Macaca mulatta: one gene and its partners. The protein of the gene in region 1 binds, or shares a complex with, the protein of each later gene. Links are inferred from orthologs where the notes say so. Each region holds a gene or a part of one and is shown on either strand. Other genes may lie near its edges. The genes, in order: PDZK1, SLC15A2 and AKAP10.

Region 1 (10,745 bases):
TGGGCTTCCGACTTTGCGGAGACCGCATGAGAGGCCTGGTATTGGGCAGTCGAGGGCTTTCTGTCCGATTTGTACTGTACGTCTCCGTGGGCATGGTCAGGGATGGCTATCTTCAATCACCACGGCCTGGCTTCTAGGGTGCATGGAGTACTTTGTGGCCTATTCTCCACCCTCCCCCATATCCTGTATGGTCATCTGTTCTTGTCCCTCCAGGAGGGAAGGGACAGGTGGTTTATTCTGATTTGTAGGTAGGGAACTGTGACGAGAGGAACTTGAGGGCTTGCCCTGCAGGTGGTGTGAAGAGCGGACTCCAGGGCTCTCTCGCGAGCCTTCTGCCTTCTGTATCAGCCTGTTGCTGTTCTGGCCCCTGTTCTTATTCTCCTATAAAAGAAAAAGCTTTCAGCCAGCAGGTGTCGGCGGCACTGGCAGAAGTCTTTCCCTTAATCATAACTGGGTGTTGGAACCCCAGCTGTGGTTTTACACTTGTCCTGTCTTCCTCCTATGGCTCAGGACCTTGCCCCTGCAATGGGGCAACAGGAGGGGCAGGATGAATAGAAATAGAAGCTGCTTCAGGCCAGGCATGTGGCTCGTGTCTGTAATTCCAGCACTTTGGGAGCCTGAAGCATGACGATCGCTGGAGCCCAGGAGTTTGAGACCAGCCTGGGCAAAAAAGGGAGACACTGTCAAAAAAAAAATTAGTTAGCAGGGCATAGTGGTATGCGCCTGTAGCTCCAGCTATTCAGGAGGCTGAGGTGGGAGGATCGCCTAAGCCCAGGAGTTCGAGGCTGCAGTGAGCGGCGATTGCGCCACTGCACTCCAGCCTGGGTGACAAAGCGTTTGGGAGGGAGAGTCCCGACCTAGCCACAGGAATCCCTTTTCTATGGGGCATCTCTGCTCTGCTCTGGCTAGAGACTTCAGGGGCTGGAACAGTCTTTTCTAGTGCATCTTCAACATATTGGACAACCTCCAAGGCCTGGTGTCTCTGCTTTTTTTTTTTTTTTTTTTTTGAGACGGAGTCTCGCTCTGTAGCCCAGGCTGGAGTGCAGTGGCCGGATCTCAGCTCACTGCAAGCTCTGCCTCCCGGGTTCACGCCATTCTCCGGCCTCAGCCTCCCGAGTAGCTGGGACTACAGGCGCCCGCCACCTCGCCCGGCTAGTTTTTTGTATTTCTTAGTAGAGACGGGGTTTCACCGTGTTATCCAGGATGGTCTCGATCTCCTGACCTCGTGATCCACCCGTCTCGGCCTCCCAAAGTGCTGGGATTACAGGCTTGAGCCACCGCGCCCGGCCTTTTTTTTTTTTTTTTTTTTTTTTTTTTGAGACAGAGTCTCAGTCTGTTGCCCAGGCTGGAGTGCAGTAGCATGATCTTGGCTCACTGCAATCTCCCCCTCCCAGGTTAAAGTGATTCTCCTGCCTCAGCCTCCTGAGTAGCTGGGACTACAGGCGCCCGCCACCATGCCCAGCTAATTTTTGTATTTTTAGTAGAGATGGGGTTTCACCATATTGGCCAGGCTGGTCTCAAACTGCTGACCTTGTGATCTGCCCGCCTTGGCCTCCCAAAGTGCTGGGATTATAGGAGTGAGCTACTGCGCCTGCCTTTTTTAATGGTTTAAGCTCTTCCTTGTCGTGTCCTACCTCACCAAGCTTCTACTAATCCTTCAGTTCTTGGAAGTGTCATTCCTTCAGGAAGGTTTCTTAATTCTTCCCATCCCGCTCCCTATTCCCAAGACCCTTTGTTATTTTCCCCCTTATCACTGCGTTCTTCCCCAGCATGACACTCACCACGTGTGGTTATGGGAATGTAACTATGTTCCCCAATAGGACAGGCAAGGTATGGGTCCGTCTTGTCTACAGATTTAGCCCTGATTCCTTGAACTTGAAAAGCTCTTCAAATGTTTGAATGAGAGTGGGCTTGTCATAAAGTTTTGGGTTTATATATTTGGACTTAATTTCTTTAGGTCAGAGGACAAAGAGGAGTTTGGTTGGAGATACTGAAATGGCAGCATCTGTATCCAGTACCCAGTAAAATATGTGGGTCTGAAACTCTAGTAAAAATGTTGTCCTTGGGGAAACAGATTTGGAAATCATTAGCAAGTTCTGGAAGGTGTCCTCCTGTGCCCCCAGCGTGTACCCAAGCAGTCTAGATTTGATGATTGGAAAATAGAATTATAGGAGATGGAGGATGGGGTTCTCACTCCAATTAGTTTCTCTTTTCCATGGATTTATTAATTTTTTTTCATCACAGAAATGACCTCCACCTTCAACCCCCGAGAATGTAAACTGTCCAAGCAAGAAGGGCAAAACTATGGCTTCTTCCTGCGAATTGAGAAGGACACCGAGGGCCACCTGGTCCGGGTGGTTGAGAAGGGTAGCCCAGCAGAGAAGGCTGGCCTTCAGGATGGAGACCGAGTTCTTAGGATCAATGGTGTCTTTGTGGACAAAGAAGAACATACGCAGGTGAATGAGACATTTGGGGCTCCTCTTCCAGGATCTCTTCAGCCCCAACACCATCTCTGCTGATTATAATTTTGGGGGTCAGTAGAGTTTGGTTCTTTTCTGGCTGCCACTGGCAAGGCAGGACACCTTTATTGCTGTACCTTATGTTGGCCAATCAAGTCCCCTATGAAGAACCAAGAACTGTACACATTACTCTTGGATTTGAATAGCATCAGGTCTAACATGAATTGCATGTTCACTACATACCAAAAATGGTGCTAGGCAATTTTATATTCATTATCTTGTTCAGTCCTCCTCATGACCTTGTGAGGTATATGTTACAATCTCACAGATGAGGAAGCTAAGTACAGATAACTTAGCTTGCTAACATGTTCATGCAGAGGATATATGGGAGAGTCTGGCCTTACCCTATTCTGCCTGACTCCAAAAGCATGCTCTTTTCCTTACACTGTGCTGTCGCCATGCACTCAGGAGGTACGGTTACAATCCAGGGCAGTGCTCCTCTCTAGAAAGGGACAGTCCTTGTAAGAAGCCTCTGGGCTGGGGTTGGACCATGCTCTATATTCCAGCAGTGCCAGAAGCTCAGCCTAATCTGCACCTGGATCTCGGGAAGGCAGGGATGGAGGTGGCTGAGGAACTACCTGCTTCTACTTGGGTGTCAGGGGTCAACTAGCAGGATCTCCAGGGCCAGATATGGAGCCACATGGTCAGCATTTCCCTCTGGCAGTTGATAGAGGGTTATTAAAGTTATTTTTTCTTCTTCCCTCCTAGGTTGTGGATCTGGTCAGAAAGAGTGGGAATTCAGTGACTTTACTAGTTCTGGATGGGGATTCCTATGAGAAAGCAATGAAAACACAGGTGGACTTGAAAGAGTTGGGTCAAAGTCAGAAGGAGCAAGGTTTGAGTGATAATACACTTTCCCCTGTGATGAATGGAGGCGTGCAAACTTGGACCCAGCCCCGGCTCTGCTACCTCGTGAAGCAGGGAGGCAGCTATGGCTTCTCTCTGAAAACTGTCCAAGGTGAGAATTTTTGGGGGGAGTGGGGGGAGGCAGGGGCAGGGCACAGACAACAGGCTTCCAGAACAAAGATGCTATTGGTTAATGACTTTTCTTCTTTGACTTTTCAGTTGCTTTAGATAGCTTGCAACAGCTTTCCTCCCTCCCTCTCTCTCTCCCTCCCTCCCTGCCCTTTCCCTTGCCTTGCACAGTTGTGCAATTGGGGAGGGACACTGGACAGCAGTGGGGGTGGGGGGCACTGGGCACTCCTGTCCCTGAGTGTTTGTCAGGCTGACACTTGAGGACTCTTTGAGGTCAGGGGGTCAGAGCATTGATGCTTCTAGCCCTCTTAGGGTGAAAATGAAGAGGAGAATGAGGAATAAGAGGCAAGAAAAATGAGAGTCTTCATAATAGCTACTTTTGAGTAAGATTGGTATCTTTTTTAAATCTGGGTGCCCAGATAGTCATTCATTTATTCAACAAAATCTTAAGCACCTACTGATGTGCCAGGCACTGTTACCTTTGCTGAGAATACTGCAAAAATCTCCACCCTCCTGTAACATTTTGATAGTATCCTCAGCTGTGGCTCAGCCCCACCTGTTCTGAGGTGCATCTTTGAGCTCTGGCTAAGAGGTACAGAGTGATTTGAGAAACCCTGACCATCAGGAAGCACTAGAAGTTCTGTTTCTAGAATTTCAGAGGTGCAGACTAACCTGTGTTCAGTTGACCATGGCTCTGGGGGTATTGGTTGGAACCAGAGGGGCTGTGTTAGCTGGCCGGTTCCTTCTTGAACGTTGCCTCTGCCCACATTCTTTCTGGGGCTGGAGAAGCACTGGTGGTAGGTCATGATTTGGCAAGTGGTACAGCAGCAGACCAGTTGGTAAATTCACAATAGTTTATAAGGCTTATTTAACCTGTACCAAGAGATGGAAACTCGCGATAAGGGGCATTTCTCAGGTTGGTCAGCTATTAAACACAGTGGTGTGGGTAGTCAAAGGAAGCTTGGCATGTCTTCGAAGCCTATTATCAGTAAAGTGGTAAAAAAAGAGAAAATCATAATTCAGATTCTACTCATCTGGCTCATGTGCTAACGCACATGGTGAACAGTTTAGGTTAGCTTTATGAGGAAAATGGTTTCTTCATGACAAATATATAACAAGGTGGCAGGAGAAATGCTGAATGTTTAAGGAAGCAGAATTTAAGTTACTGTCATTCCTTACAAGTGATTTATGTAGTCATTACCAAGCGATCCCTTGCCTAGGTTGAAATACAGGAGTTCCCCCTTATCCTGTTTTGCTTTCCATAGTTTCAGTTATCTTACCTGCAGGCAACTGTGGTCTGAAAATATTAAATGGAGAATTCCATACATAATAGTTGCATTGTGAACCATTATGAGTAGGGTAATGAAATCTTGTGCTGTCCTGCCCCATCTTGGAGATGAATCCTCTGTTTGTCTAGCACCTCCGTGTGGTATGTGCTTCCTTGCCTGTTAGTCTTACTACTCACTACTCAGTTATCAGGTCAACTGTTGCGGTATTAAAGTACTGTGTTCAAATAATCCTTATTTTGCTTAATAATGGCCCAGCACAGAAAGAAAAATATCACATGTTCTCATAAGTGGGAGCTAAAAAAGGTGAATCTCACGGAGGTAGAGAGTAGAATGAGAGATACCAGAGGCTGGGAAGAGTGTATGTGGGGTAGGGCAGGGATGAAGAAAGCTAGGTTAATGGGTACAAACACAAAGAGAGAATAAGTTCTAACGTTTGATAGCAAAGTGGGGTGACTATAGTTAACAACAATGTATTGCACATTTCAAAATAGTTGTAAGAAGATTGGAAATATTCTCAACACAAAGAAATGATAAATGTTCAAGGATGGATGTCCTAAATATCATACCATTATTTGTTCATTATATGCTCTTGGTATCAAAACATGACACACACCCTACAAATATGTACAAATGTTATGTATCAATAAAAAACAATAGCCCAGGCCGGGCGCGGTGGCTCACGCCTGTAATCCCAGCACTTTGGGAGGCCGAGGTGGGCGGATCACGAGATCAGGAGATGGAGACCATCCTGGCTAACACGGTGAAACCCTGTCTCTACTAAAAACACAAAAAATTAGCTGGGCACGGTGGCGGGCGCCTGTAGTCCCGGTTACTTGGAGGCTGAGGCAGGAGAATGGCGTGAACCCGGGAGGCGGAGCTTGCAGTGAGCCAAGATTGCGCCACTGCTCTCCAGCCTGGGTGACAAAGTGTGACTCTGTCTCCAAAAAAAAAAAAAAAAAAAGCCCAAAATGCAACAGTTGTGATGCTGGCAGTTCAGATATGACAAAGAGAAGCTGTAATGTGGCCAGGCGTAGTGGCTCATGCCTGTAATACTAGCACTTTGAGAGTCTGAGGCGGACAGATCACTTGAGGTTAGGAGTCAGGAGTTCGAGACCAACCTGGCCAACATAGCAAAACCCCATCTCTACTAAAAATACAAAAATTAGCCAGGTGCAGTGGCAGGCACCTGTAGTTCCAGCTACTTGAGAGACCGAGGCAGGACAATCGCTTAACCGGGGAAGCAGAGGTTGCAGTGAGCCAAGATTGTGCCCCTGGACTCCAGACTAGGTGACAGAACGAGACCCCATCTGTTTAAAAAAAAAAAAAAAAAAAAAAAGGCTGTAAAGTGCTCTTCTATTAAGTGAAAAGTTCTCGATTTAATAAGGAAAGAAAAAATATTGTATGCTGAGGTTGCTAAGATTAGCTCAGTTATTGCGAATCTCTTATTGTGCCTAATTTATAAGTTAAACTATCATAGGTACGTAAGCACAGGAAAAAAAACATACAGGTTTCGGAATACTATCTAAAGTTTCAGTCTCCCACTGGGGGTCTTGGAATGAATCCCCCATGGTTAAGGGGGAACTGCTCTATTAATATCTTTGAAGAATTGACAGCATTTCTGTAAGTAGCACCTAAATCTCACCACCTAAATGCGTTCATGTTCTTCCCTCCCTCCTGTGCCTGTCCTTGTTAGCCTACATTGGTGAGATGACTCCATCAGCATACGATGGCTAATATAATAGTACGAAATAAAGAGGAGGGAATGGGAAAGATGCTTTCTGATTCTACAAATGCAAAGAAAGGGCATATAGACACAATAATGCAGTGTGGGTATGGTTTCGCGCTTTCTGGTACAAGGGGCCAAGGCCACCCAAGATTCCATCTTTGCATTTAGCTGACCTCAGAAATTCTATTCAAATCAACAAATACCCACTGAGTAAAGGCTGTGTCAAGTTCTGTGCCAGGAGCTATAACTGTGATTTTAGATCAGAAGCCAAAGGCTGTTTGAGTTAGCTCTGAAATTGGAAGTTCTAGTTTCACATTATTGGGAGAAAAGTCTTTACCACTGGATTTCTGTTTTTTGTTTTTTGTTTTCGTGCAATGGAGTGTTCTATGAAAGGGTGGTGTATGCAAAGCAGTCCTTGAATGCTGAAGGAGCTCAGAAACCAAAGAACAAGGCAGGCAAATCCAGTTTGTAGGTACATTGGAATTTATCAGGGGAACTTATGAACAGAAGCATGGTCTTGGACAGCCACAAAACATGTAGATCTCTGCAGTGTTACTCCCCAGACCCAAGGCTGATATGCCATAGGGAAAGGGTATATATGCTCCAGCAAGGCAATCGAAGGCAGCCGTCTGCAATAGCCAAGAATGCTATATGCATCATGGCCTGTAATTTGTGTGGTAACATTAAGGTTGACATGTTCTTACACTAGGGACAGTAAATGAAGTAGGAATCAGGAGGCATTCACAGGACTGGGGCTAATCAGAAGTCAACATCGCAGATTACCATCCAAGAGGGAGTCACTTTTGTCTCCACATGGAGTTCACCCCTACTCTCTTCCAGGTAAAAAGGGGGTGTACATGACTGATATTACACCTCAAGGTGTGGCTATGAAAGCTGGAGTTCTGGCTGATGATCACTTGATTGAAGTGAATGGAGAGAATGTAGAGGATGCCAGCCACGAGGAAGTGGTTGAAAAGGTATGCCCCAAAGGGTACTTTTCTTGCCCTATCTTCCACTCTATTCTCATTGGAGGTGACAGAAAGACAGGGGTGGTAGGGGACAGCATGAGTTTATGATGGAAAAAATATCCAGCTGAGTTGCCCCTTCATATTAAGGGTGAACAGACTCTCACTAGTGGTATAAGCAGTGTTAATACAGGTTTTGGAATAAAGCCTTCCCTAATTTCACATAAGGTCTACAAAACTATTAACCTTACCTTTTGGATCTTGTTTGTATCGGATTGGGAGCCCCCTCTGAACTGTCTGATTGAGACAGGGTCTCACTGTGTTACCCAGGCTGGAGTGTAGTGGCACCATCTCAGCTCATTGTAGTCTCGGCCTCCTGGGCTCAGATGATTCTTCCACCTCAGCTTCCTGAGTAGCTGGGATTACAGGTGTGTACCACTGCGCCTGGCTAATTTTTGTATTTTTTTTTTTTTTTTTTTGTAGAGACAGAGTCTCACTATGTTGGCCAGGCTGGTCTTGAACTCCTGAGCTCAAGTGATCTGCCCGCCTTGGCCTCCCAAAGTCTGGGATTATGGGCGTGTGTCACTGTGCCCTCTGAATTTACAATAAATTCACTGTTGAGCCGATAATACTGAAATGCTTTAATAGGAAGTGGGATATAACTGAGATTTTCCTTTGAGGTCATATGGAACCTTAAAAATTGACCAACCTTCTCTTCTCTTTGTAGAATGATTTTTTGACGTGGACTCTTACTTTCTTTTCTTTTCCAAACTCCTGTTCTAGCTTTTATCTAGGTACCTTTATGGGTTTTCTGAATTCTAGCTCCTACTTGGGCTCAGTTAGTACCTATGTGGGTGGGTCATATTTAAATAAGGGAAAACAACTCTAGAAGTGGAGATAGATACATATCAGTTAGCTGGCAGGACATAGTGTAACAGCTTAAACTCAGGCCTTCTATCCCCTATCTTTTGTTGAACCTAGAGACTGTGTGCCTTTATACAGAAACGTTCTTATCCCCCAGCATTGTTCTTGGGGGTTGATATTGTTCCTCATCTGTGTGTGTTGTTACAGGTGAAGAAGTCAGGAAGCCGTGTCATGTTCCTGCTGGTGGACAAAGAAACTGACAAGCATCACCTTGAGCAGAAGATACAATTCAAAAGAGAAACGGCTAGTTTCAAACTGTTACCCCACCAGCCCCGAATTGTGGAGATGAAGAAAGGAAGCAATGGTTATGGTTTCTATCTGAGGGCAGGCTCAGAACAGAAAGGTAAGGTACAACAGCAGGAAACTTGGCAGTGTAACCAACAAATTCCTCATCCCAGTCTGACTCCAGAGTTCCATTAGACTCCCAACTTCCAACCAGATGCATGAGGGACACAGCAAGAAACTAGAAGGCACAGCTGGGTCAGAGTCTATGTCACATGAGGCTCTGATATTGGGCATCAAAAGTTTCCATAGCATTATGATAAGGCAGAATTTGGGATCTGGGCAATGGTATCCTGGTAAGCTGGCTCTCTGGCGGGGGGCGGGGGTGGTGGTGGAATACAAATTGGTAGCATTTGTTGGTTTTTGTGATGTAAATACTCCTCCCATGTCCAATTTCAACTTACTAACAAGATGTCACTGAACACAACGAAGTGTTGCACAGAATTGGCTTTTGTGAGCCAGTATAGCACACCGCTGGACCTGAGGCCGAGGTGTGGGTGAGGATCTGGGACTCAGAACCAGGAGTCCTCCTTCTTTGCAACTCAACAGGGAGAACACTAGGTTCTTTCAGGGAAGGTAAATACATAAAAGAACATGAGTTCAGGCCGTATAAACTGTTACTCACCCATAAGTTGTTATTTTCTTTTCACTTTATGTTTACATTAATTTATCAAATATTAATTTGGTTTGTGTTTTGTAAAAACATCCTCAGTGCCTTGGAGAAAGAATATCATATGAATCAGACAGGAATTCTTTAGTCAAGGAGTCTACCATTTAGTAGATAAGAGATAAGGGACTTATGTCCACAATGAAGGGAGATAGAGGTTAAGTACCTTCATACAGGGGCAGATTAAGCGCTGTGATAATTCAAGGTTAGAGTAAGCTTTTCTCACTAAAAAGGTACCAGAAGCCCTCATAGCAGGGGTGGCCCTTGAGTTCAGGCTTTGTAACATGAATAGATTTGGGAAAGTAGGCAGGGCTGGGACAAGGAAGATCATTCCAGGAAGGGGGGAGTCATGTGAACACTGTCAGGAGACATGGGCACAGTTTAGTTGGCACATGATGCGTGGTGCAAGAATTCGTTGGAAGGGTAGGCTGGAGAGAGGTGACAAGGGAACTTCTATGCAAGATTGACGAGTTTGGACTTGGCTCATTAGATGATGGGGAGTTATTTTTTGAGCAGTATAAGGGAGAAGAAAAAAACAGCCTATAATGTCTTGGGGGCTTTGCACGTCTCAATTACTCCTAACAATTATGCAGGAAGAACTGCTGAAATTGAGGGCTTGGAGAAGATACAGTAATTATGTAAGGTCAAATAGTTGTTTAGTTCCAAAGCCCATGCTCATTCTGTTGCACCAGGGAGTGACGTGGTTAAGAATGTGCATCAAGATGGATCTGAAGGCCGATCTATATTGATTGGGGAAGGGAGAGCAGTAGGAAGGTGCTGTCATAGTTTACATAGAATTCTAGGCAGGAACTAACACAAACTGCATTCAGGGTGGAGGAAGTGGGATGTGTAAGATATCAAGGTAGCATGAGAGGACTTAGCAATCATCTAGATATGGGGACTGGATGCTGGGGAAGAATCAGTTGCCAAGTGTTGGTGGCTAGGAGGATGTTGCTCCACTAACAGGTAACCAAGAGGAGGGGCTTTGGGGTGGAGAATGGGCAGAGCTGATTTTTGGTTTGAATACATTACAGTTGAGAGATCTATGAGATATTTTGTTGGAGATACCCAGCAACTAGCTGGAAAAGGGAAACAGGAGCTTGTTTAAAAAAAAAAAAAAAAAAAGAGCTCTGGCAGCATCTGGTAAAGATACCAGAAGGCCAAAGGCACATGGAGGCATGTATATACAAATACATTCAAACTGAATACACCCAATTGCTACTAAAATGCCAGCATGGGTTTCTTAAGGTCCAAAGTTTTAGGTTTTGTTCTTTATTCTTTCCCGTCCTTTAATGACAGCTTTTACATAAGAAGAATGGCTACAAGTACGCCCACTGACTTCCTGGGAACTTACAGTCTTTTAATATGCTATTGTGCCAAAATTGAATATCAGGCACT
Region 2 (10,745 bases), on another chromosome or scaffold:
ATGTTGTCCAGGATAGTCTCAAACTCCTGAGCTCACGCAATCCTCCTGCCTCGGCCTCCCACAGGTGTGAGCCACTGTGCCTGGTCCCTCAAGGTCTTAATTAAACATTCCTTTTATGTAGTTCCCATAGCTCTCTCTGTACTTTCCTAGATCATACTATATTGATCTGGGAAATACTGATCATACTATATTGTAAATTCCTTTTACTTGTTTGCCTTCCTCTCTCTACTGAACTATATAGCTCTTTGGGAACATGAACTCTCCAGGTATCCAATTCACCAGTGTGATCCCAATACCTAGCACATAATATGGCACACAACAGGTTCATTAAATGTTGGTTAAATAAATGATTGAATGAAAAAATAAATTAATTGGCTGGGCGCGGTGGCTCATGCCTATAATCCTAGCACTTTGGGAGGTCGAGGCAGGTGGATCACAAGGTCAGGAGATCGAGACCATCCTGGCTAACACGGTGAAACTCCGTCTCTACTAAAAACACAAAAAATTAGCCAGGCATGGTGGCGGGTGCCTATAGTCCCAGCTACTTGGAAGGCTGAGGCAGGAGAATGCCAGGAGGCAGAGCTTGCAGTGAGCCAAGATCATGCCACTGCACTCCAGCCTGGGTGACAGAGTGAGACTCTGTCTCAAAAAAGAAAAAAAAAAAAAAAAGAAAAAAGAAATTAATTATAGTAAAAGATCAGAGAATTGAGTTATCGATTAGTACCCAGAAAACTGAAGCTGCTGACTAACAATGACAGCTAGCACTTAACATTTCATAATTTATAAAACATTTCATTTATATCGTCTCTTTTTTATCTTCATAATTACTCTATTATGTAAATATTATCATGCAAATATTCGGGAAAATATTTGGCTTTGAATGAAGAAGGAAGTAGGGAATATATTATCACAGCTCACCTATAATAAATTTCCTTGGCATTGGGAATTCTGAGTACTACTATCACCACCCTCCCATCCACTCCCTGTTAGATAATACACTGAACATTGAGTCTCTGGGCTGTTTTTCCTCTGTTGAGCTCTTTATGGGTTTGCACTGGATATCTTCCAGGGGGGTGTCACGCTGAGGCTCAGAGTGAGAACAGGTTTCCAGGTCAATGATTAGAAATAATCATGCCCAAGTTTTCCCTCAGGCTGTGTAAAATAAGGAACACCATATCCCTCTTCTCTTCCAGGACTGGGTTCTCAGGGATAAAAAGAACGCCACTTGATTTAAGTTGCATTAATTTTCACCTACTTATTCACCTCCTCTTATTCTCTTTACTCAAGGGCAGACTCTTTGGGGGCACTCCAGGGGGGCACTACAGAGCAGGGCAGAAATAGCTAAACCTAGAAGCTGTTTTAAAAGGCTTAGAGAATTTAAAATCTTTTCCAATTACCAGATAAATAAGTATCATATGAAGTAAACTAGTTTGAAAGAGGGTTATCTTCCTTGCTTCCCTATATATTATAGTGTAGAGCAGTGGATCTCCACCTTGAGTATACATTAGAATGACCTGAGTTACTAAGAAATGCCCAAGTCCCTGACTGGCCCAGAGTTTGATCTTTTTTAAGGCTCCCCAGAAAGCATCTATGCAACCTTGGACACTTTTCTTAAAGTTTCTGACTTCATTCAGAATCTACCTCCAAAGTTGAGGGGAAACCCTTACAATAACTGTTACCCAATAGGCCCTAGTGTGAGGATTGAATGAAACAGCTTGTGTAAAGTGCCTACATGATGCTTTACATGTGACAGGTATCAATGATTACTAGTTTCCTTTGCTTCACTGAACTTACCAAGTGCAATTACCATGAGCAATCCTGGAACTCCAAAAGCCAATGCATAGCAGTCTTCTCCAAAACACTGCACATCTCCTAAAGAAAATGGGATGTGAGGAGGAAAGTAACTCTGAGTCTTGAATATTTGATGTTTTATTCTACAAGTTCAGGTTGTCAAATAAACCTGAGCTTGCAGAATAGACATAACCATCCTCTTTCCTCCCATCACCCAATCCATAATTCTTCCTTTGGGCAAGACAAATCAAGACTAAAATAAATTTTCACAGGTTATCAAGCTCTTATAAAAGGAGACAATGGACAGGAGAAAGCCTTGAACAGCTTTTTGGCTGACCAGAGCAAAGCTTTTTCCCATCAGAAAAAATCCTAACCTCTCAGCATGGGTGTGATAAATGTAGAAATCAAGCTCCCTGCATTGATGGACAGGTAGAAGACTGAGAAGTATCTAGTCCGTTCCTCTGCCTGAAACAAACAGGATAAATCATCAGTGCAATGTGTCCCCTAGCTCCAGCCCCATTCCATGTTCAGATTCAGAGCTGAAGGTACATACAAAGAGAAAGATTCAGATATTGCTTCCATAATACCTGAATTTCATATTATTAATAGATATTTAAAAACATGGCTGGCTGACCCCAATCATTTACTCACCTTTCAAACTCCAGAGCAGCTTTAACATTCTTTTCCTCCCTTTGCATAGGTTAAAAATAATCTTCCTGTCTTCAGTGCCACTACTGTGTCCTGTATATAGCTATTTGAATATTAATGTCTTTGCATTAAATGTCTGCATTTGTGTGTGTGTGTGTGTGTGTTTTGTTTTTGTTTTTGTTTTTCTGAAATGGAGTCTCACTCTGTTGCCCAGGCTGGAGTGCAGTGGCGCAATCTCAGCTCACTGCAAACTCTGCCTCCTGGGCTCAAGCCATTCTCCTGCCTCTGCCTCCCATAAATGTCTGTTTTGTCAGTATGTTGTGAGTTTCTTTAGAGCAGAAATTTTATCTTACTAATTTCTGTAATCCCCAGTAACTTGCACAGCATCTGACATATATTAGGGACTCGATAAATGTTTATTGACTGTATTAACTAAGTGAATGCCTGATTTAGTTAAATAATAGATTTTGTGGTAGGAGTGTATGGTAGGAATAGTACCAGAACATAGGACAGTAGAGTCAACTGTTAATGAAGCAGGATAGTTCACCTAGTGCTTAAGGGAGATCTGCCAGAGAGTCTAAAAAGAAATCAGCAGGCTTAGAAGTGGCTAGTAGAAACCTGGAGGCGGATTCGTCCTACTAAGTGAAATATCTTTGTGGAGCAGTTCTCAAATGAAACAACTTTCAAATAAAGTTGCTGATGTTTCATTCATTATACACTGACATGCTTCATTCTGACACCCCAGATCTCTCCCTGCCACATTAGAACAACAAGTCCTTCCCCATTGTCTATTTATAGTGTGTTTTGTTTCCTCTCCTGGTTTCAATTTAAACCTTATTCCACTCATCTAATTTGTATAGTTCATCATACATAGGGTCCCACTTGCCAAAAGTTGGTTCTTTCTCCAAAGTCAGCAAGCAATTATGATCTATGGACTCTTGGACAGATAAAGAGTATAAAATAACCCAAATGGCCTGAAAGGTGGGAAAAACACTAGAAGACAGGACAGCATAGCAGAGGCAGAAAAAGATAATAGGCATTATATCAGGGTAGAAGAGGGAAAAGGAAAGAGAGAGAGAGAGAGTGGGGGGCGGGGAAAGAGAGAGAGAGAGAGAAGTGGTGAGGGGGAAAAAGAGAAACTGGAAAAAAGATAAACAGAGAAGACGGAATGGATACATGAAGACAGACAAAACTGAAAACTGGAAACAAAAGTGAGGAAGCCAGAAATGTTGAAAGATCTAGAAATAGACTACTTCCTTGCCTATTTGTCACTGCTTTCTCATAGAGGCCCATTTATTTTTCACTACTGGTAATGGAAAGTATTTAGGAAGAGAGGGAATGATCAGCCAGGGAAATTCATCTATAGACATTCATTATGTTTCCTTGCAATTGGTCATTTTCCCCTTTCATGGAATCTCAAAATAAGATGCTTAAATCATCTCTATACTACTCATCACCTCCCATTCCCAAAGTGCTTACCATATCTCTTCCTAAACACCTCAAGTTAGAGTAAACTTAACAATTGTTTGAAGTTTTTCCACCCATCAGGCAAAACACTGGCTTCTTGGAGGCTTTCACTCATTGGTCTCAGCTTTAATCACTGACATTCTTCCAGCATCTATAAGCAGCTATAGTATTCTCCTTAGTTCGTATCCAGACTAACCATCCCCGTTTCCTTCAACCTTTCCTCATAAGACATGCCTTTTAGTTAATCTACCACCCTGGTCTCTTTCCTTTGAAACTGTTTCAGTTTTCCTCACTATTAATGACCAGTATCCAGCATTGAATACAACTGCTCAGGTAAGATCTGATCAGTAGATTACTTCAATCTTGGCAAATGGCTACCTGCCAGGTACCACTGTTAATGCTGGCTCTATATTCTTGAAAATACAAAATAACAGGATTCTTACATGTTTTTCTTCAAACTGGTCTCCACCAAAAGCTGCCACACAGGGTTTGATGCCTCCTGTCCCCAAAGCTATTAGACTCAGGCCGACTAATGATAGGACTCTGAAATGGAGAGGTGAGAATGCCAACCATGTTGATACTAAATGCACCTGTAGAGATGGACTACATAGCTGCAGAGGGGAAAAAATGTGTACAAGGGCAAAGATTCCCTTCACATTTCTACCCCATGGGTACTTTCCATTTGCCTTTATTCCTAGGAGGTATTCATGGGCACTTACCATATTTATGATCCTTTGGCTTCTGCAAGAAAGTATGCATTACGTGGGAAGATTTCATCCCTGGTAGTTCCATTTACCCCTTACGAGCATCCGATAGAAACAGATACTGAAGGAACTCCAAAGTTAACACACTGGTTCCCAATCTTGTTTTAGTCAAAGGAGTACTTCAACAGAAAGACCTTTTAAGGACCCTGATCTCACATATCCTCACCAAAATTTAAAAAAAATATATAAAATGTTCAAATTCATCATAGCTAATAGCAACAGTGTCAAAGATATTTGACGGGACACCAATAAGAAAGTAGTATTTATTAAATATCAAGGCCAGGTGCAGAGGCTACGCCAGCACTTTGAGAAGCCAAGGCGGGTGGATTACCTGAGGTCAGGAGTTCAAGACCAGCCTGGTCAACATGGTAAAACCCCGTCTCTACTAAAAATACAAAAATCAGCCAGGTGTGGTGGCGGGCACCTGTAATCCCAGCTACTCGGGAGGCTGAGGTGGGAGAATCACTTGAACCCAGGAGGCAGAGACTTCAGTGAGCTAAAATCACCCCACTGTACTCCAGCCTGGGCAACAGAGCAAGACTCTGTCTAAAAACAAACAAACAAACAAAATTTCTAACTCATAGGATAAATACATGTACACAGGCACACAGGCGCATTATAACATGAATACATATAAACTGCTTCGTGAACAGCTGTAATCCTCTCTACTGACTGAACAAACAGACATCAGAATTTATCAAATGCCTCTGATCCCATAAACATCAATAGCAACTGAAATATATGGAACTACACATAAATGTAAATATTCGAAGCTTTGAGTATGACTTCTGCAATTAATTAAAAGGAAACATTATAGACTTTTTTTTAACCCTTTGAGTATGACTTCTACAATTAATTAAAAGGAAACATTATAGACTTTTTTTTATAGACTTTTTTTATTCATCCATGCAAAGTATAGTTGCATGGATGAATAAAAAGGTGAGGGAATATGTAGGGTGTGAAGGTTTTGTTTATTTTCAAGCATATGAAGAGGATACTAACTAGGCATTCTACAAGTCCCAAAAACAGATGAGCTCAGATAAAGCAGGAAAGAGTTCAACTGGTTATAAGACTGTTTTTCTTAACCTCTTTTGTAGTAAAACTATAGATTGGAAATAAAGGGACATCTCTGGTAAGAAAACAGAAAATCATTTGTAACGAATGTTTGAGAAAAGCAGTTTAGTTGATTCCATGGTTTTACTCACGTGTGTACCACTTGTCCTCCCAGTATTGGTAAGGCACCCAAGGACTTGATCACATGGCCAAGCACATACACCAAGGAGAGATAGATGATTGTCCTGTTGAGAGAGCTAAATCAGTCAGTCTAAAACCAGAACTGAGAGACTTGAATAATACAGACTTAGGGTTCATACTGTTCTCAGTGTGGGGATAAATGGAGGAGGAGGAGGAAGGAGTGGAGGAGGAAAGAATTATCTGAGAAATCCAAATAGAGACAATAATGGTGAGTGAAGTAAACAGACTAGGAAAAAGGAGTGGAATTCTTCACTCTGTAGTGTTCAAGTTCCCTTCCTATACCCACCTTCCCCTTTCCTTCTACCTGCTCACTTCACACATACACAGAGAAACCCTACTTTGTACAGACATGACAAGAACAAGGTGGATTTGTAGCAAAAGTAATAATGTTTTAAAATGGGAGAACCAGTAGAAGAGGATATTTGGACTTTAGGCGTTTTTCTCAAGGAATGTCTTTTGCTGTAGGGAGCAAGAGGGGTCAAGGAAGAACTTCAAGTAAACAGGAATGGCTAACCCAACGACTTCCTCAAAATTAAAGAAGCACTGGGGAGGTAAAAAGCTCTCAGGTTCAGCCTGGGTAACTTGGATTCTTGGATTAATTGTAATCCTCACCACAGTTTCTTCAGGGACAAGTTAACAAGGGTAAGAAAGGAGCCAGGGACTTAGAATAGACTGTCCAGTTATGAAAACCATGCAGTTGGAAGGAACATTCTGTTGTATTGTTTTCTCAAAGAACTTGAACAGCAAATAGAAAGTAGAAGAATAAGGAACTCCACTAAGAACATATAGAGAGATTCACACATTGGAATATGGCACACTACAACATATATTCCTTATGTGTACTACCACACCAGCATTCCTACATACAAGTAGAATGTTAGCATTATAATGAACCTTGGAAATTATACAGTTTACACCTGCAATTTTTAAGATGTTATATGCTAATGTGGAATGCAGAGAATAGAATGGAATAAAGATAGCAAAGAGAGGCCGGAGATGTCAAAACTCTCAGGATGTGGATTTCTCATTCTAAGTGCCTAATCCTTGGGTCGGCTTTCTAGGGCAGGGACCTTAAAGGGTCTGGTGGGTAGGGGGCAGGAAGTTAGGTAACTAGGCTGGGCACGGTGGCTCACGCCTGTAATCCCAGCACTTTGTGGGGCCAAGGTAGGTGGATCACGAGGTCAGGAGATCGAGACCATCCCGACTAACATGGTGAAACACTATCTCTACCAAAAATACAAAAATTAGCTGGACATAGGGACATGCGCCTATAATCCCAGCTATGCGGGAGGCTGAGGCAGGAGAATTGTTTGAACCAGGAAGTCAGAGGTTGCAGTGAGCCAAGAGATGGTGCCACTGCACTCCAGGCTGGTGAGAGAGCAAGACTCCATCTCAAAAAAAAAAAAAAAAAAAAAAAAAAGAAGTTAGGTGACTAATGTAGGACTAATTAACATCAGGGGCGGGGACAAGCTTTCCCAAAAGATCTTGTAACATCTTCTAGAGAAAGGTTCTCCTTGTTGTAATAAGAAGAATAAATAGCAAGAAAGGGAATAAAAAGGAACAGAAAAAAAATGCTAGCTATCATGAACCCCAAACAGATGATCTATCTTAGATCATCATAGAGGGGAAAAAAAGGAGTTTGAGCCAAAGTGATAAAAGTCTGGGTAGTAAGATCAGTATCGAATTGATGGACTAAATCAGGGGTGTCCAATCTTTTGGCTTCCCTGGGCCACATTGGAAGATGTATTGTCTTGGGCCACACATAAAATACACCAACACTAACAATAGTTGGTGAGTTAAAAAAAAAAAAATTATCATAATGTTTTAAGAAAGTTTACAAATTTGTATTGGGCCACATTCAAAGCTGTTCTGGGCTCCATGTGGCTTGCAGGCTGTAGGTTGGACAAGCTTGGACTAAATGAATGACAGAAGTATAAGTGGTTTAGGAGGAAAATAGGCAACCTTATAGATAAAAACAAAACAAAACAAAAAACAAAACAAAACAAAAAACAAATAAGCCCTCATAGGAAATAGTTTAGATATGAAGGATATCAGAGAGGAAACTAACGGCAGGAAACTAATAGGAGGAGCAAGAAGTCAAGAGACCTGAAAATTCTGCATTTCAAATGAGATATTAGGGTCATTGTAATCCCAGCCACAGGACACAGAAATGCTTTAGGATGACTTCACTAATCCTTCAATTTTACAAATCAAGAAACTGAAATCCAGACAGGTCAAATGACATTTCTAAACAGTGACTTTTGGGCTAGTTGCAGTGGCTCACCCCTATAATCCCAGCACTTTGTGGGGCTGAGGTGGATGGATCACTTGAGGTCAAGAGCTCAAGATCAGCCTGGCCAACACGGTGAAAACTCACCTCCACTAAAAATACAAAAATTAGCCAGGCATGGTGGTGCGTGCCTATAATCCCAGCTACTTGGGAGGCTGAGATGGGCAGATCACTTGAACCCAGGAGGTGGAGGTTGCAGTGAGCCAAGATCCCACACCACTGCACTCCAGCTTGGGAGACAGAACGACACTCCATCTCAAAGAAATAAAAAAATAAATAAATTAAATAAATAAATAAAAATAAATAAACAGTGACTTTCTTTTATTGTAGAGATGAGGTCTTGCGATGCTGACCAGGCTGGTCTCAAACTCCTGGCCTCAAACAGTCCTCCTAACTCAGCCTCCCAAAGTGCTAGGATTACAGACATGAGCCACTACACCTGGCCCCAAAGTGACATTTTAATTAGTATTAGGGTTAGGTGTAGAGCTTCTATATTTAACTCATAACCCAGCATTCCTTTGCTTTTATCACAAACAAGTTAATGTGGAAAAAGGAAATGGAAGAGAAAGAAGTAATATATTTTATTTCACCATAAGAATATAAAAAGCCACAGCCATTTTTAGTAGGAGCTTAGGAACCGAGAAGAGGTATATACAGAGGTTGAGAGTGTGTAGTGATGGAAGAGGAAGAGACCTTGCATGAAGAAAAGAAGGTCAGTTCAGATCAGACAAAAAAGAGGAGAAAGGACATACTATGCAGACCCACTGGGAGAAAGAGAAAAGATAAGTGTGGAGAAGACATTCAAAAGCATAATAACTCCAAGATGGCCAAATAGGAACAGCTCCGGTTTGTAGCTCCCAGCATGGTCGATGCAGAAGATGGTGATTTCTGCATTTCCAACTAAGGTACGTGGTTCACCTAACTGGGACTGGTTGGACAGTGGGTGTAGCCCATGGAGAGTGAGCCAAAGCACGGTGGGGCATCGCCTCACCCAGGAAGCACAAGGGGCTGGGGGATTTCCCTTTTCTAGCCAAGGGAAGCCATGACAGACTGTACCTGGAAAATCGGGACACTCCCAACCAAATACTGTGCTTTTCCAATGATCTTAGCAAATGGCACACCAGGAGATTATATCCTGCGCCTGGCTCAGTGGGTCCCATGCTCACGGAGCCTTGCTCACTTCTAGTGCAGCAGTCTGAGGTTGACCCGCAAGGCAGCAGCCTAGCAGGGGGAGGGGGCATCTGCCATTGCTGAGGCTTGAGTAGGTAAACAAAGCAGCCAGGGAAGCTTGAACTGGATGGAGCCCACCACAGCTCTGCAAGGCCTGCTGCCTCCATAGACCCCACCTCTGGGGTCAGGGCATAGTGGAACAAAAGGCAGCAGAAACTTCTGCAGACCTAAACGTCCCTGTCTGACAGCTGTGAAGACAGCAGTGGTTCTCCCAGCATGATTTTTGAGCTCTGAGAAAGGACAGGCTGCCTCCTCAAGTGGGTCCCTGAAGCCCATGTAGCCTAACTGGGAGACATCTCTCAGTGGGGACTGACTGACACCTCATACAGGCAGGTGCCCCTCTGGGACGAAGCTTACAGAGGAAGGATCAGGCAGCAATGTTTTCTGTTCTGCAATATTTGCTGTTCTGCAGCCTCCACTGGTGATACCTGGCAAACAGGGTCTGGAGTGGACCTCCAGCAAACTCCAACAGACCTGCAGCTGAGGGACCTGACTGTTAGAAGGAAAACTAACAAACAGAAAGAAATAGCATCAACATCAACAGAAAGTACATCCACACCAAAACCACATCTGTAGGTCACCAGCATCAAAGACCAAAGGTAGATAAAACCACAAAGATGGGGAGAAACTAGAGCAGAAAAGCTGAAAATTCTAAAAACCAGAGCACCTGTTCTCCTCTGAAGGATTGCAGCTCCTTGCCAACAATGGAACAAAGCTGGATGGAGAATGATTTTGATGAACTGACAGAAGTAGGCTTCAGAAGGTTGGTAATAATAAACTTCTCGAAGATAAAGGAGGATGTTTGAACCCATTACAAGGAAGCTAAAAAACTTGGAAAAGATTAGATGAATGGCTAACTAAAATAAACACTGTAGAGAAGACCTTAAATGACCTGATGGAGCTGAAAACCATGGCATGAGAACTATGTGATGCATGCACAAGCTTCAATAGCCAATTCAAACAAGTGGAAGAAAGGGTATCAGTGATTGAACATCAAACGAATGAAATAAAGCAAGAAGAGAAGTTTAAAGAAAAAAGAGTAAAAAGAAATGAACAAAGCCTCCAAGAATATAGGACTATGTGAAAACACCAAATCTACATTTGATTGGTGTACCTGAAAGTGACAGGGAGAATGGAACCAAGTTGGAAAACACTCTTCAAGATATTATCCAGGACAACTTCCCCAACCTAGCGAGGGAGGCCAACATTCAAATTCAGGAAATACAGAGAACACCGCAAAGATACTCCTTGAGAAGAACAACCCCGAGACACCTAATTGTCAGATTCACCAAAGTTAAAAT
Region 3 (10,745 bases), on another chromosome or scaffold:
ATTTTTGTAACAAAATGTGAATCTCCTATGTTGTACTGAATAAGTTGGTCAATACTCCTCCACGACTTGAATGTTCAGGCATTTTACACCAAATTTCTAAATGTAAACCCTTCTTATCTCAATATCTATATAGCAATGTTTCTTATCTAGTATCGTCTACAAACATATTTATCTTTTTTTTTTTTTTTTGAGACGGAGTCTCACTCTGTCCCCCTTGCTGGAGTGCAGTGGCCGGATCTCAGCTCACTGCAAGCTCCGCCTCCCGGGTTCAGGCCATTCTCCTGCCTCAGCCTCCTGAGTAGCTGGGACTACAGGCGCCCGCCACCTCGCCCGGCTAGTTTTTTTGTATTTTTTAGTAGAGACGGGGTTTCACTGTGTTAGCCAGGATGGTCTCGATCTCCTGACCTCGTGATCCACCCGTCTCGGCCTCCCAAAGTGCTGGGATTACAGGCTTGAGCCACCGCGCCCGGCCAAACATATTTATCAAAATAAACACTGGACAGAACATTAAGAACTGCATTCCAGTCCAAGTGCTGCCACTAACTTGTTCTGTGACTCTGAGAAAATCATTACCTCTCTGGGCCTTATTTTCCTTACTTGCAAAATAGGAAAATCAGACTACATCCCTAATCTGGCTATTTATCAGAATTATCTGGTATGTTTTCTAAAAATAAAGATTCCTGGTCACACCTCAAACCTGTGGAATCAGAATTTCTGAGACTGGGTGGGTGGGGGACTGGAAACTTTTTTTTTTTTTTGAGATGGAGTCTCCCTCTGTCACCCAGGCTCCAGTGCAGTGGCACGATGTCAGCTCATTGCAACCTCTGCCTCCTGGATTCAAGCAATTCTCCTGCCTCAGCCTCCCTAGTAGCTGGGATTACAGGCACCCGTCAAAATGCCCAGCTAATTTTGGTAGTTTTCAGTAGAGACAGGTTTCACTATGTTGGCCAGGTGGGTCTTGAACTCCTGACCTCAAGTGATCTGCCTGCCTTGGCCTTCCAAAATGCTGCGATTACAGGTGTGAGCCACCATGCCCAGATTGAAAACTTAAATTTTTTTTTTTTTTTCTGAGACAGAGTCTCGCTCTGTCAGCTAGGCTGGAGTGCAGTGGCATGATCTCGGCTCACTGCAACCTCCGCCTCCCGGGCTCAAGCAATTCTCCTGCCTCAGCCTCCCGAGTACCTGGGATTACAGGTGTGTGCCACCATGCCTGGCTAATTCTTGTGTTTTTAGTAGAGATGGGCTTTTACCATGTTGGCCAGGCTGGTCTTGAATGCCTGTCCTCAGGTAATCTGCCCGCTTCGGCCTCCCAAAGTGCTGGTATTACAGGCAGGAGTCACCACACCCGGCCTGAAAACCTATTTTTAACGAGCTCTCAGGTGATTCCTATGCAGACAGCCCAGCAAGAGCCTGCAGACCAGTGTTCAAGAACCATTGGCCTAGATGCTATTGGCTGTCTTCAAACCCTAACATTTATGGACTTTTCTCTATCCCCAAGTTACCCCTTTACCATTTGCTTAAGGATACAAATAACAAATAACTTTTTTTTTTTTTTTTTTTGAGAAAGGGTCTCACTCTGCTGCCCTGCACAGGGTGGAGTACAGTGGATCACAGCTCACTGCAGCGTTGACCTCCCAAGGCTCAGGTGATGCTCCTGCCTCAGGCTCCTAAGTAGCTAGGACAAAAGGCGCACGCCACCACGCTCAGCTAATTTTTGTATTTTTAGTAAAGGCGGGGTTTTGCCATGTTGCCCAGGCTGGTCTCAAATTCCTGGGCTCAAGCAATTCATCCGCTTCTGCCTCTCAAAGTGTTGGGATTACAGGTGTGAGCCACCGTGCCCAACCACAAATTATTTTTTTTACAGAGTAAGAAAAGTTAAATGAAAAGAATACCATACGTTACAGAGCTGGCCACAAGCTCATCACTTGCCTGATCAGATATTTTCAATTTTGTTCACTGTATGATTTTTCTATCCTCTCATTTTCAGTGAAAACTAATAAAAAAACTAATTCATTTAATAACGTGGCAAGGCAGATTTATACAGAAAGTATACTATACCCATAAAGAGGCATTCAAGGTCCCTTACAATCTATTCCAATTAGTACCAGCATCCTCACATGTATTCCCCAACCCTTTGATTATCTCAACTCAAGTTTCTTGAAAGTGCCACCTTCCGCCAAGTCTCCATGGCTTCTGTGCCAATGCCTTTGCCTAGAATGTTGTTTCCTGCCTTCTCTGGGTAGCAAAATTCAATTCATTCTTTAGGATCCAAACAAAATCTCTCTTCTGGGAAACACTGCTTGAACACTACCACTGCCATCCTGTTTGCCCCACACACACCTCCCCTTTCCCAGCAGAAACTTTTGTTCTAAGAACCCCCAAAGCTTTACAAACACCATACAAAAAGTAGCTTTTATGCTGCCTCCTGTGAACTCCTTGACAACAGAGACTGAGTTTTTGCATCTTTATTTCCACAAAACATATCACATGCTCAATAAGTATCTGCTGAATGCATCTATCAATATAACTCACTTGTCATATAAAATCATGGCATCATTCTGTGCCTCCTGTCCATCGTATTGGCCCTTTTTGGCAGCAAGCTGAGACTGGAAGTTATCTGCTGCCAACCAGAATTGTAAGATATTCACTGCATCCTCTTTTTCCATGTACTAGGAAGAAATAATACACAAGGGAAAATAAGACTATAAACAGATTTCTCTCACCATCTCTAATCTATAAGCTCAAATATTAAAATACAGGTCATAAGCAAAAAACAAAAAGATCGACTTCTTCAGTTAACACCTGTCAGCAAGTTACAGTCATTTGAGATTAAAAAGTTTTAAAGTATTTAGAGGAAAAAAAAAATTAACAAGAAACAAACACTACACAACTGGATGCAAACTTTTAGTGAACTAGAGTAAAAATTATACTAAATTGGATTTGTGGTTCCTTACCAGCAAACATATAAAGAGTAAACTAACCAAATATTTTGTATCTGATCATTTCCACCATTCCATGAGGACATATTAGCCTAAACAAATTGTTGGTTTAAACTTATAGCAAAGAAAGGCAGTGGAAAAACAGATCAACTGAGTACCTGTATTCTTGCAAAGAGGCAGAATCAAGTGTCTAAATTACTGCTTTGTGAGACCAGGAATCCTCTTTCTGCTTTCTGACAAAATAATTTCACTTGTTGAAGCCTAACAAAGAGCATTATACTAAACTGTATGCCTCAAAAAGATTAATACACTCATTGTCTGTTGCAAATGCTTCTTCACTGGGCAATCCTATCAACTGGCTAAAGTAAACATGATGAGCATAAGAAAAAATTTACTACTTTTCTTTTTCTCTTCTGAAGTCTGGTCTGCAATTTATGCCCTGGAAGTTTCAAATTCTGTGGTTTTAAAATAGCTCCAAACAATTAAAAACATGCACTCTCTGGCATGCAGTAGCTTAATCAGGTTTTTCAAAATTAGAGTTATTTAACACATTGAGTTTTCATGTTCTCTCTAATATGTTATTAAATTACTCTTGCTATCAGAAACAACTTGAAACAACGATAAATCTTTTTGGAAATGACTTGGCTCTTCTGGGTTATTTCCTATAGACAGGGCCCCAGCATTGATAGTTAGAGGCTGGAATGCTCGAACAGAGTGTGAAAGGAAATGCAGACTTTACCTCAGAGAAATAAAAGAGGGCTGACTCACAGAAGAGAATGTCAGCCAGGTAAACAGTTCCACTGGTCAGCACTTCAATCTGGTATTTACAGAAATGGTGACTTCGCAGAAACTCACTAAAGTGCCTGCACATGGACAAAAGGGAAAATTTGAGGGAACGACCAAGGAAAGAGTTTAAGTGGGAAAAATATACTCTTTCCATACTGTCCCCATTGTATCTTAAAGGCCTAGGTCAACACTATCTCACTCCCCACGGTGTCATTCCTGATTCCTTTACCTGTATGTAATCTCTCCCACCTTTTTATGACTTTGTAGTTCTCCCCTGACATTTAACACATGCCACTTCATATTACAGTAACCAAAGAACATGCCCTATGTCTTTTATTAGGTTGTAACTTCCTTCAAGACTGGTACTATGCCTAACCATGTCTTACACAGAGCACTCTTTTGATAAATGTTAAGTGAAAGAATGAATAGATTTTTTTTTAAGGGCACACAGCAGTAATAAATCTAAAAAACCTCTGGAGCCATTTCAACAAATCTATGTGGATTTAGTTATATAGCATCGATTTAGCTTAAAGCCTAACAAATTAGGAGAGCCATCTGAAGACAGGCATTATTTCAATAAATAAACCAATTCTAACAGTCATAATCACTACGGCCTCAATCACTCCCCAAATGATTTCATAACTGAAAACAAATTATTTTAACTTAGGAAATACTAACATTGAAAATGAAAATTAAAATTTTAAGAGTTCACATAATTTATATTTAAAAGAAACTATTAATCAAGATAGAGTATGCCTTATATGTTCCTGTAAATATCCAAAATATTTAAATCCTCAAAAATACTTCGTTTTTAGCTAAGTGAAGCCCATTCCTAACAATGAACCCAAATTCCCTAGGATGCACAATGTGAAAATATGAACTAACTTACTCTTGCTCCATTGCACTAAAGACTATGGACTGTGCCAAAACGAAACAGTTGGGATCCACCTGTCCATCTTCTCCACAAATCTTTGCTGTAAAAGAAGTCGTAAATAATTAAATTGCCACTAAATTCAAACTATACACACTTGTGAATCAACTTGGGAGTTAACAGCATAGGCATGTAAATTAAGAGGTTTTAAATAGAACTAATAGAAAATACAGGTAACACTTGACCTTGATGTAGAAAGTCTTTTGAAGTACATATGCAAAAGCAGAGATCAAAAGATTTAACAACATAAAATTATTTCCTAGACATTGAAACACTCCAAAAACAAAATACAAAGGCAAACAAACAGAAAAAAGATTTGCAGCATGCATGACAGTTAAAAGATTACTATCATTAAAATACCAAGAGCTCTTATAAACTACTAAGAAATGTCCCAAAAGAAAAATGAGCAAAGGACACGACAACCCACAAAGGAACAAACATAAAATGATCAACGTGAAAAGATACACATACTCACTAGTAATCAGATCAGAATAAGGAGGCACTGCACCTTTTGTCTAGTAAACTGGTACAACATTGTTTTTAATAATATGCATACTTGAGCAAGGGCACAGGAAAACTGACACTAGTGTTAGTGGGGATATAAACACCTTTTTCTGAAGGCAATTTGGCAGTTTCTAGCATAGCTTTAAAAACGAACATACCCTTTCAATGAGCAATTCTATTTCTAGGATTGTAGCTTAAAAAATTATGTATTTGTGAAGTCATCTGTAAAAAAGTTTATCAAAATGTTATTGGTAGAAATTTTAAAACATGAAATGTGCTAAAATAAGGAACTGCCTAAATAAACTGCAGCAAAACAATAAGCTGTTTGGCTAACTGTTAAACATGGCTGGAAAAACCATATAACATGATGCCTAGTCTCACTTTGTGTTCATGACTTTAGTGGGACCTTCATGAAACCCAGGGATCATACTAGTGTCATGGTCTGTTCACATTCACTTTCCTAGACAATACAAATCTGTGATATTGTGAAATATGTTATTTACTCTTTGCCCAGTTTTTTTTTTCTCCCCCTTTTCTTCTGAGACAAGCTGGAGTCAGTGGCACGATCATGGCTCACTGCTGCCTTGAACTCCCGGGCTCAGTGATCCTCAGCCTTCTGAGTAGCTGGGACTACAGACAAGAGCTACCACGCCTGGCCAATTTTTAAGTATTTTGTAAGGGGGTCTCACTATGTTGACCAGGCTGGTTTTGATCTCATGGCCTCAAATGATCCCCCTACCTCAGCCTCCCAAAGTGCTGGGATTACAGGCCTGAGCCATTGCAACTGGCCTTTTTAGCCAGTTTCTTAGCATACAGCTCCTAAAATTCATGAAATCTCTGGATTCTTTTGAATGCTAATGAGATGACTAATGGCAGGTGGCCTCTAAAGAGCTTTAGGATGAGGGCTAATCACCAGAAAGACCAAGGCAGAATTACAGGGTTGGGACTTTCAGCCCTACCCACCAACCTCCCAGAAGGAGGGGACTGAAGGTTGAGCTGATCACCAATAGCCAACGATCAATTATGCCTATATAATGAAGTTTCCACAAAAAAACCAAAAGGACAGAATGGGGAGGGGGGCTTCTGAATAGCTAAATCTGTAGAGGTTCTTGGAGGGTGGTATGACCTGGAGAGGGCATGGAAGCTGTGCCCCCTCTCCCATACCTTGCCCATGCATCTCTTCCATCTGCCTGTTCAATCTGTATCCTTTGTAATATCCTTTATAATAAACGGGTAAATATAAGTGAAGCATTTCCCTGAGTTCTGACAGCTGCTCTAGCAAATTTATTGAACCCAAGGAGGGGACTGTGGGAACTCCAATTTATAGAAGGCCGGTCAGAAGCACAGGCCACAACTTGGGCTTCAGACTGGCATCTGAAGTGGGGGCAGTCTTGTGGGACAGAGTCCTCAATCTGTGGGATCTGATGCTATCTCCAGGTAGATCGTGTGAGAACTGAACTGACTTAGAGGACACCCAGTTGGAGGGGTCACTGGAGAATCATCTGCAGAATTGATAGTTGACGGGGAAAACCCCCACACAAGTAGGGTCATGGAAAGGTTCTGTTTTGTGAGAGTTCAGGAGTTTTGTTTTGTTTTGTTTTTCTACAGTACATCTCCTTTCTCAAATATTCAACACCTCTTTCTCCTGTTCTCTTTGCTGAGAACTTTGCTTCCTGCTTCAGTGAGAATATAGAAGCAATCAGAAAATTATTTCCATCATCTCTCACATCTTTCAACTCACCTGCATCTCTACCCATGTACTGCATTCTTTCCTGTGACTCCAGATAAACTGTCTTGCTCCCATCTAAGTAATATTTTATGTGAGCACTAGAATTCATCCCTTTTGCCTCCAGACTTCTTTCCTGTAACAACTGTCCCCTCTCCTACATCAACTTCTCCTTCACTACTGCCTCATTCCTATCAGCTGTGTGGACTGCATGTTATACATGTATACCTGTTCGTATGCTGTAACACACCTTACATGCTTATAATACATCTTACCTTAAAAACAAAATTAAAAACCATTGCCCCCCTCCCCGCCTTTTTTTTTGAGACAGGGTCTGGCTCTGTCACCCAGGCTGAAGTGCAGTGGCATGATCTTGGCTCACTGCAGCCATGACCTCCTGGGGCTCAAGTGATCCTGCCACCTCAGCCTTCCTAATAGCTGAGACTACAGGTATGCACCACCATGCCTGAAAAATTTTTGTAGTATTATTATTTTTTTGGTAGAGATGGGGTTTCACTATGTTGCCCAGGCTAGTCTCAAACTCCTGGGCTCAAGTGATTCAACCTCCCTGGCCTGCCAAAGTGCTGAAATTACAGGTGTGCACCACTGCCCCCAATGCACACTTGATTAACATCACCTTCCAGCTCAACTTTAGAGGAACATGCCACATAACAGTTGTCAATACTCGCTGGTTCCACTCCTCCTATTCTCTCTTAAGACTCCTCCAATTAAGTTTCGTCTAAAATGGCCCACTGTAATCAAGATAACTAGTGTACGATGGGTTGTCAAATCCATTCAATTCCAGTATTCGTCTTACTTATCTCAGCTTCATTTCCTCCCAGAAACATTTTTCTTACTTGGCTTCCTGAAGAAAACTACTTCTTGATATACCATTGTCATAAGAGGGCCTAAGTGTCCTTTGCTAGTTCTTCTCCATCTGACAGAATGCCAGGGCTCAGTCCTTAGACCTCATCTTCCCTCATTACACTTACTCCCATGGTAATGTTATCTAGTATTGCAGCTCTAAATCCATCTATATGCTAATGACTTCCAAACACGTGTCTCCAACCCGGGCCACTGCCATAAAATCCTAATGTAGGTGTCCAATTACCTACTTGACATTCACCATTTGGATGTCTAAAACCAAACTCCTGATTTTCCTCATAAGCCATTACTCCTACAGTCTTTTCATCTTATAAATGACAACCCTACAATTCCAGGTATTCAGTTTTTTAAAAAATGGAGTCATGCAGTCAGGTGGGGTGGCTCATGCCTGTAACCTCAGCACTTTGGGAGGCCAAGGTGGGTGGATTACGAGGTCAGGAGATGGAGACCATCCTGGCCAACACGGTGAAACTCCGTTTCTACTAAAATACAAAAAAAAAAAAAAAATTAGCTGGGGGTGGTGGCAAGAGCCTGTAGTCCCAGCTACTTGGGAGGCTGAGGCAGGGGAATCGCTTAAACAAACAAAAAAAATGCAGTCATGCTTTATTCCTTTTTTTCCCTCTCATACTACTCACTTCCAAACCATTAGCAAATTCTGTCAGCTGTACCTTCAAAGTTTTTTAAAATTCTACCACTTTAAAGATTTGTGGAAGATGAAGGAGGTAGTGGAAGTATAGCTTCTGGATCACTCTAAATCCTCACATAAAAACAGTAATTAGAAAGCAAAGCCAAAAACCCAAGGATAACATTTTAAAAAAGACTATGCAAGTTGGATACACAGTAAGTGCTGAAGTGAAGGCTCCTTTGAATAAAACTCACTTGAAGGACAGCTATATTCAAATAGTACAACTGCAGCAAGAGGAGACAAATAATTTGGACAGGATTAAGAATGAGGCTCAAGGAGGAAAAATGACTTGCCTAAAGCCATACAGGTAATTAACATCCTAAAATATATAATGATAGACACTGGGATAGAGGTTTTCTCAAATCCCTTGATCACAAAATGTTACCAACTTGATCCTTAAGCAGACTTTTCCTTCATGGGATTACATCATCATTAATCTGATTAAGCTTAAGTAAAAGAAAGAGAGTCGCAGTGTGGTTTCATTTTTAAGTGTTTTATTTGACTTGAAACTCTTTCCTTTTCATCCTCACACCAGTGAGGCTATTAACTGGTACAGACTCCCCTCAAAAAAGTCACTAGCCAACCAATTCTTCAAACAGGCAAACTCTAATCAGTCAGAACATCCCTGTTGTATTACTAGGAAAAGCTGGTCTAGCGACAATGGTAGCAGCAAATTCTCACATAAAAACAGAGCAACAACACAGAAAAACTCAAATCTCATGACAACATCTGTCAGCAAAACTCAGTGAAACACCACCCCTTAAATACAAGCAGATAGGGATAAGCCACCAACAGCCACCAGGCCTATGTTACAGCTGTTATAGGTATCTGTCTGGGAGAAAGAAAAGGAAAATGGAGGCAACATGAGATGGACCCCACAATAGCTAACTGGAAAGTACAGTGGGCCAATTTAAGAAACACAGCTGAGACTAACAGGGGTCTTGCTGTCTCCAGTAGTGAGTGAGTGCAAAGTACCCACAGTAAGATTAAAGAAGCCCCACATTGGGACAGACCTGCTAGAAGTGCAAGAACAAGTTTTATTACATAAATCACAAATACTAACTTTTTTGAAAAATAAAAATACATAATATTAGGACTTATGAGAATGTAATATTTATTGAACGAATAAATAAACCTCTTTTATCTGTGAATATATGTTCACCTAAGGTCTTCCTGATAAAACACAGTAAAAGCTTTCAAACTATTTTGCTATAACTTATACAGAAATATATTTGTTGAATCAGCATACACATACATACATGTATATATAATGAAAACATTTTTCTGAAATGATGTTTGTCCTTACTACTCTGAGACACTTTGATTTTTTTATTCTAGTGTGTATATACACATATATACACACTAACATATATATATACTAACATATATATACACTAACATATCTATATACACTAACATATATATATATGTTTATTTTGGTAGGGGGTGAGGGCATAGGAGAAGGTCGGTCCCAACCTACAGTATGAAAAACACTGCCGGCCGGGCGCGGTGGCTCAAGCCTGTAATCCCAGCACTTTGGGAGGCCGAGACGGGCGGATCACGAGGTCAGGAGATCGAGACCATCCTGGCTAACACGGTGAAACCCCGTCTCTACTAAAAAATACAAAAAACTAGCCGGGCGAGGTGGCGGGCGCCTGTAGTCCCAACTACTCGGGAGGCTGAGGCAGGAGAATGGCGTGAACCCGGGAGGCGGAGCTTGCAGTGAGCTGAGATCCGGCCACTGCACTCCAGCCTGGGCGGCAGAGCGAGACTCCGTCTCAAAAAAAAAAAAAAAAAAAAAAGAAAAACACTGCCACAGCACAGCAGTTAAGGTATGTGAGGGTCTAGTTTCAAACCCTGACTCCGCCATGTCTGAGCTGTTACCTTGGACAAAGTACTTAACTTCTCTGTGCTTCAGTTTCTTCATCTATAAAATAACTGTATTTATCCCACAAAGTTCTTTAGAAGTTAAAGAGTTTATCCACAGAAAGTGCTTGGAATATTGTCTGGGATACAGTGAGTGTTCAATAAATGTGTACTATTTATTGTTCTTGCTGTCATTGTTATTTAGGTCAAAGTCTAAGAATTTGGGTCCAACATACAAGAAAAACTTTTTTTTTTGTTTTTTGTAAAGTTAGCAAATTGTCTTTATTCAGAAGAATAAAGTTACTTGAAACTGGGACTGGACATGAGGCTGCCCTCCTCCTTGCACCTCCAGCTGTGCCAAATGACACAGAAATGACATTGTGTGTGGCACAATCAACTGGCAAAAAATGGCAAGTCACGGGC

The links.
Region 2: the proteins of PDZK1 (region 1) and SLC15A2 are in contact, whole or in part, in a crystal structure (PDB 6EZI), measured with the Homo sapiens proteins. The link is inferred for Macaca mulatta from reciprocal best matches to the Homo sapiens genes PDZK1 and SLC15A2. Residues at the interface, in NP_001188254.1 of Homo sapiens: Asn386, Gly387, Tyr388, Gly389, Phe390, His391, Leu392, Asn393, Ala394, Ile395, Arg396, Gln407, Tyr436, Glu437, Val440, Ile443, Gln444; in NP_066568.3 of Homo sapiens: Glu723, Thr724, Lys725, Lys726, Thr727, Lys728, Leu729.
Region 3: the proteins of PDZK1 (region 1) and AKAP10 are in contact, whole or in part, in a crystal structure (PDB 3TMH), measured with the Homo sapiens proteins. The link is inferred for Macaca mulatta from reciprocal best matches to the Homo sapiens genes PDZK1 and AKAP10. Residues at the interface, in NP_001188254.1 of Homo sapiens: Asn386, Gly387, Tyr388, Gly389, Phe390, His391, Leu392, Asn393, Ala394, Ile395, Arg396, Phe402, Lys404, Tyr436, Glu437, Val440, Ile443, Gln444; in NP_009133.2 of Homo sapiens: Pro655, Leu656, Glu657, Lys658, Ser659, Thr660, Lys661, Leu662.

What each region holds. Positions count from the first base shown.
Region 1 is NC_133406.1:119,615,229-119,625,973, forward strand, and holds part of PDZK1 (Na(+)/H(+) exchange regulatory cofactor NHE-RF3), read left to right. Parts: intron 1-2,244; coding exon 2,245-2,456; intron 2,457-3,227; coding exon 3,228-3,477; intron 3,478-7,349; coding exon 7,350-7,486; intron 7,487-8,545; coding exon 8,546-8,741; intron 8,742-10,745. UniProt on the Homo sapiens protein: A scaffold protein that connects plasma membrane proteins and regulatory components, regulating their surface expression in epithelial cells apical domains.
Region 2 is NC_133407.1:161,850,843-161,861,587, forward strand, and holds part of SLC15A2 (solute carrier family 15 member 2), read right to left. Parts: intron 5,969-10,745; coding exon 5,876-5,968; intron 4,450-5,875; coding exon 4,350-4,449; intron 2,257-4,349; coding exon 2,166-2,256; intron 1,873-2,165; coding exon 1,795-1,872; intron 1-1,794. UniProt on the Homo sapiens protein: Proton-coupled amino-acid transporter that transports oligopeptides of 2 to 4 amino acids with a preference for dipeptides. Transports neutral and anionic dipeptides with a proton to peptide stoichiometry of 2:1 or 3:1.
Region 3 is NC_133421.1:21,145,030-21,155,774, forward strand, and holds part of AKAP10 (A-kinase anchor protein 10, mitochondrial), read right to left. Parts: intron 4,700-10,745; coding exon 4,615-4,699; intron 3,803-4,614; coding exon 3,679-3,802; intron 2,670-3,678; coding exon 2,533-2,669; intron 1-2,532. UniProt on the Homo sapiens protein: Differentially targeted protein that binds to type I and II regulatory subunits of protein kinase A and anchors them to the mitochondria or the plasma membrane.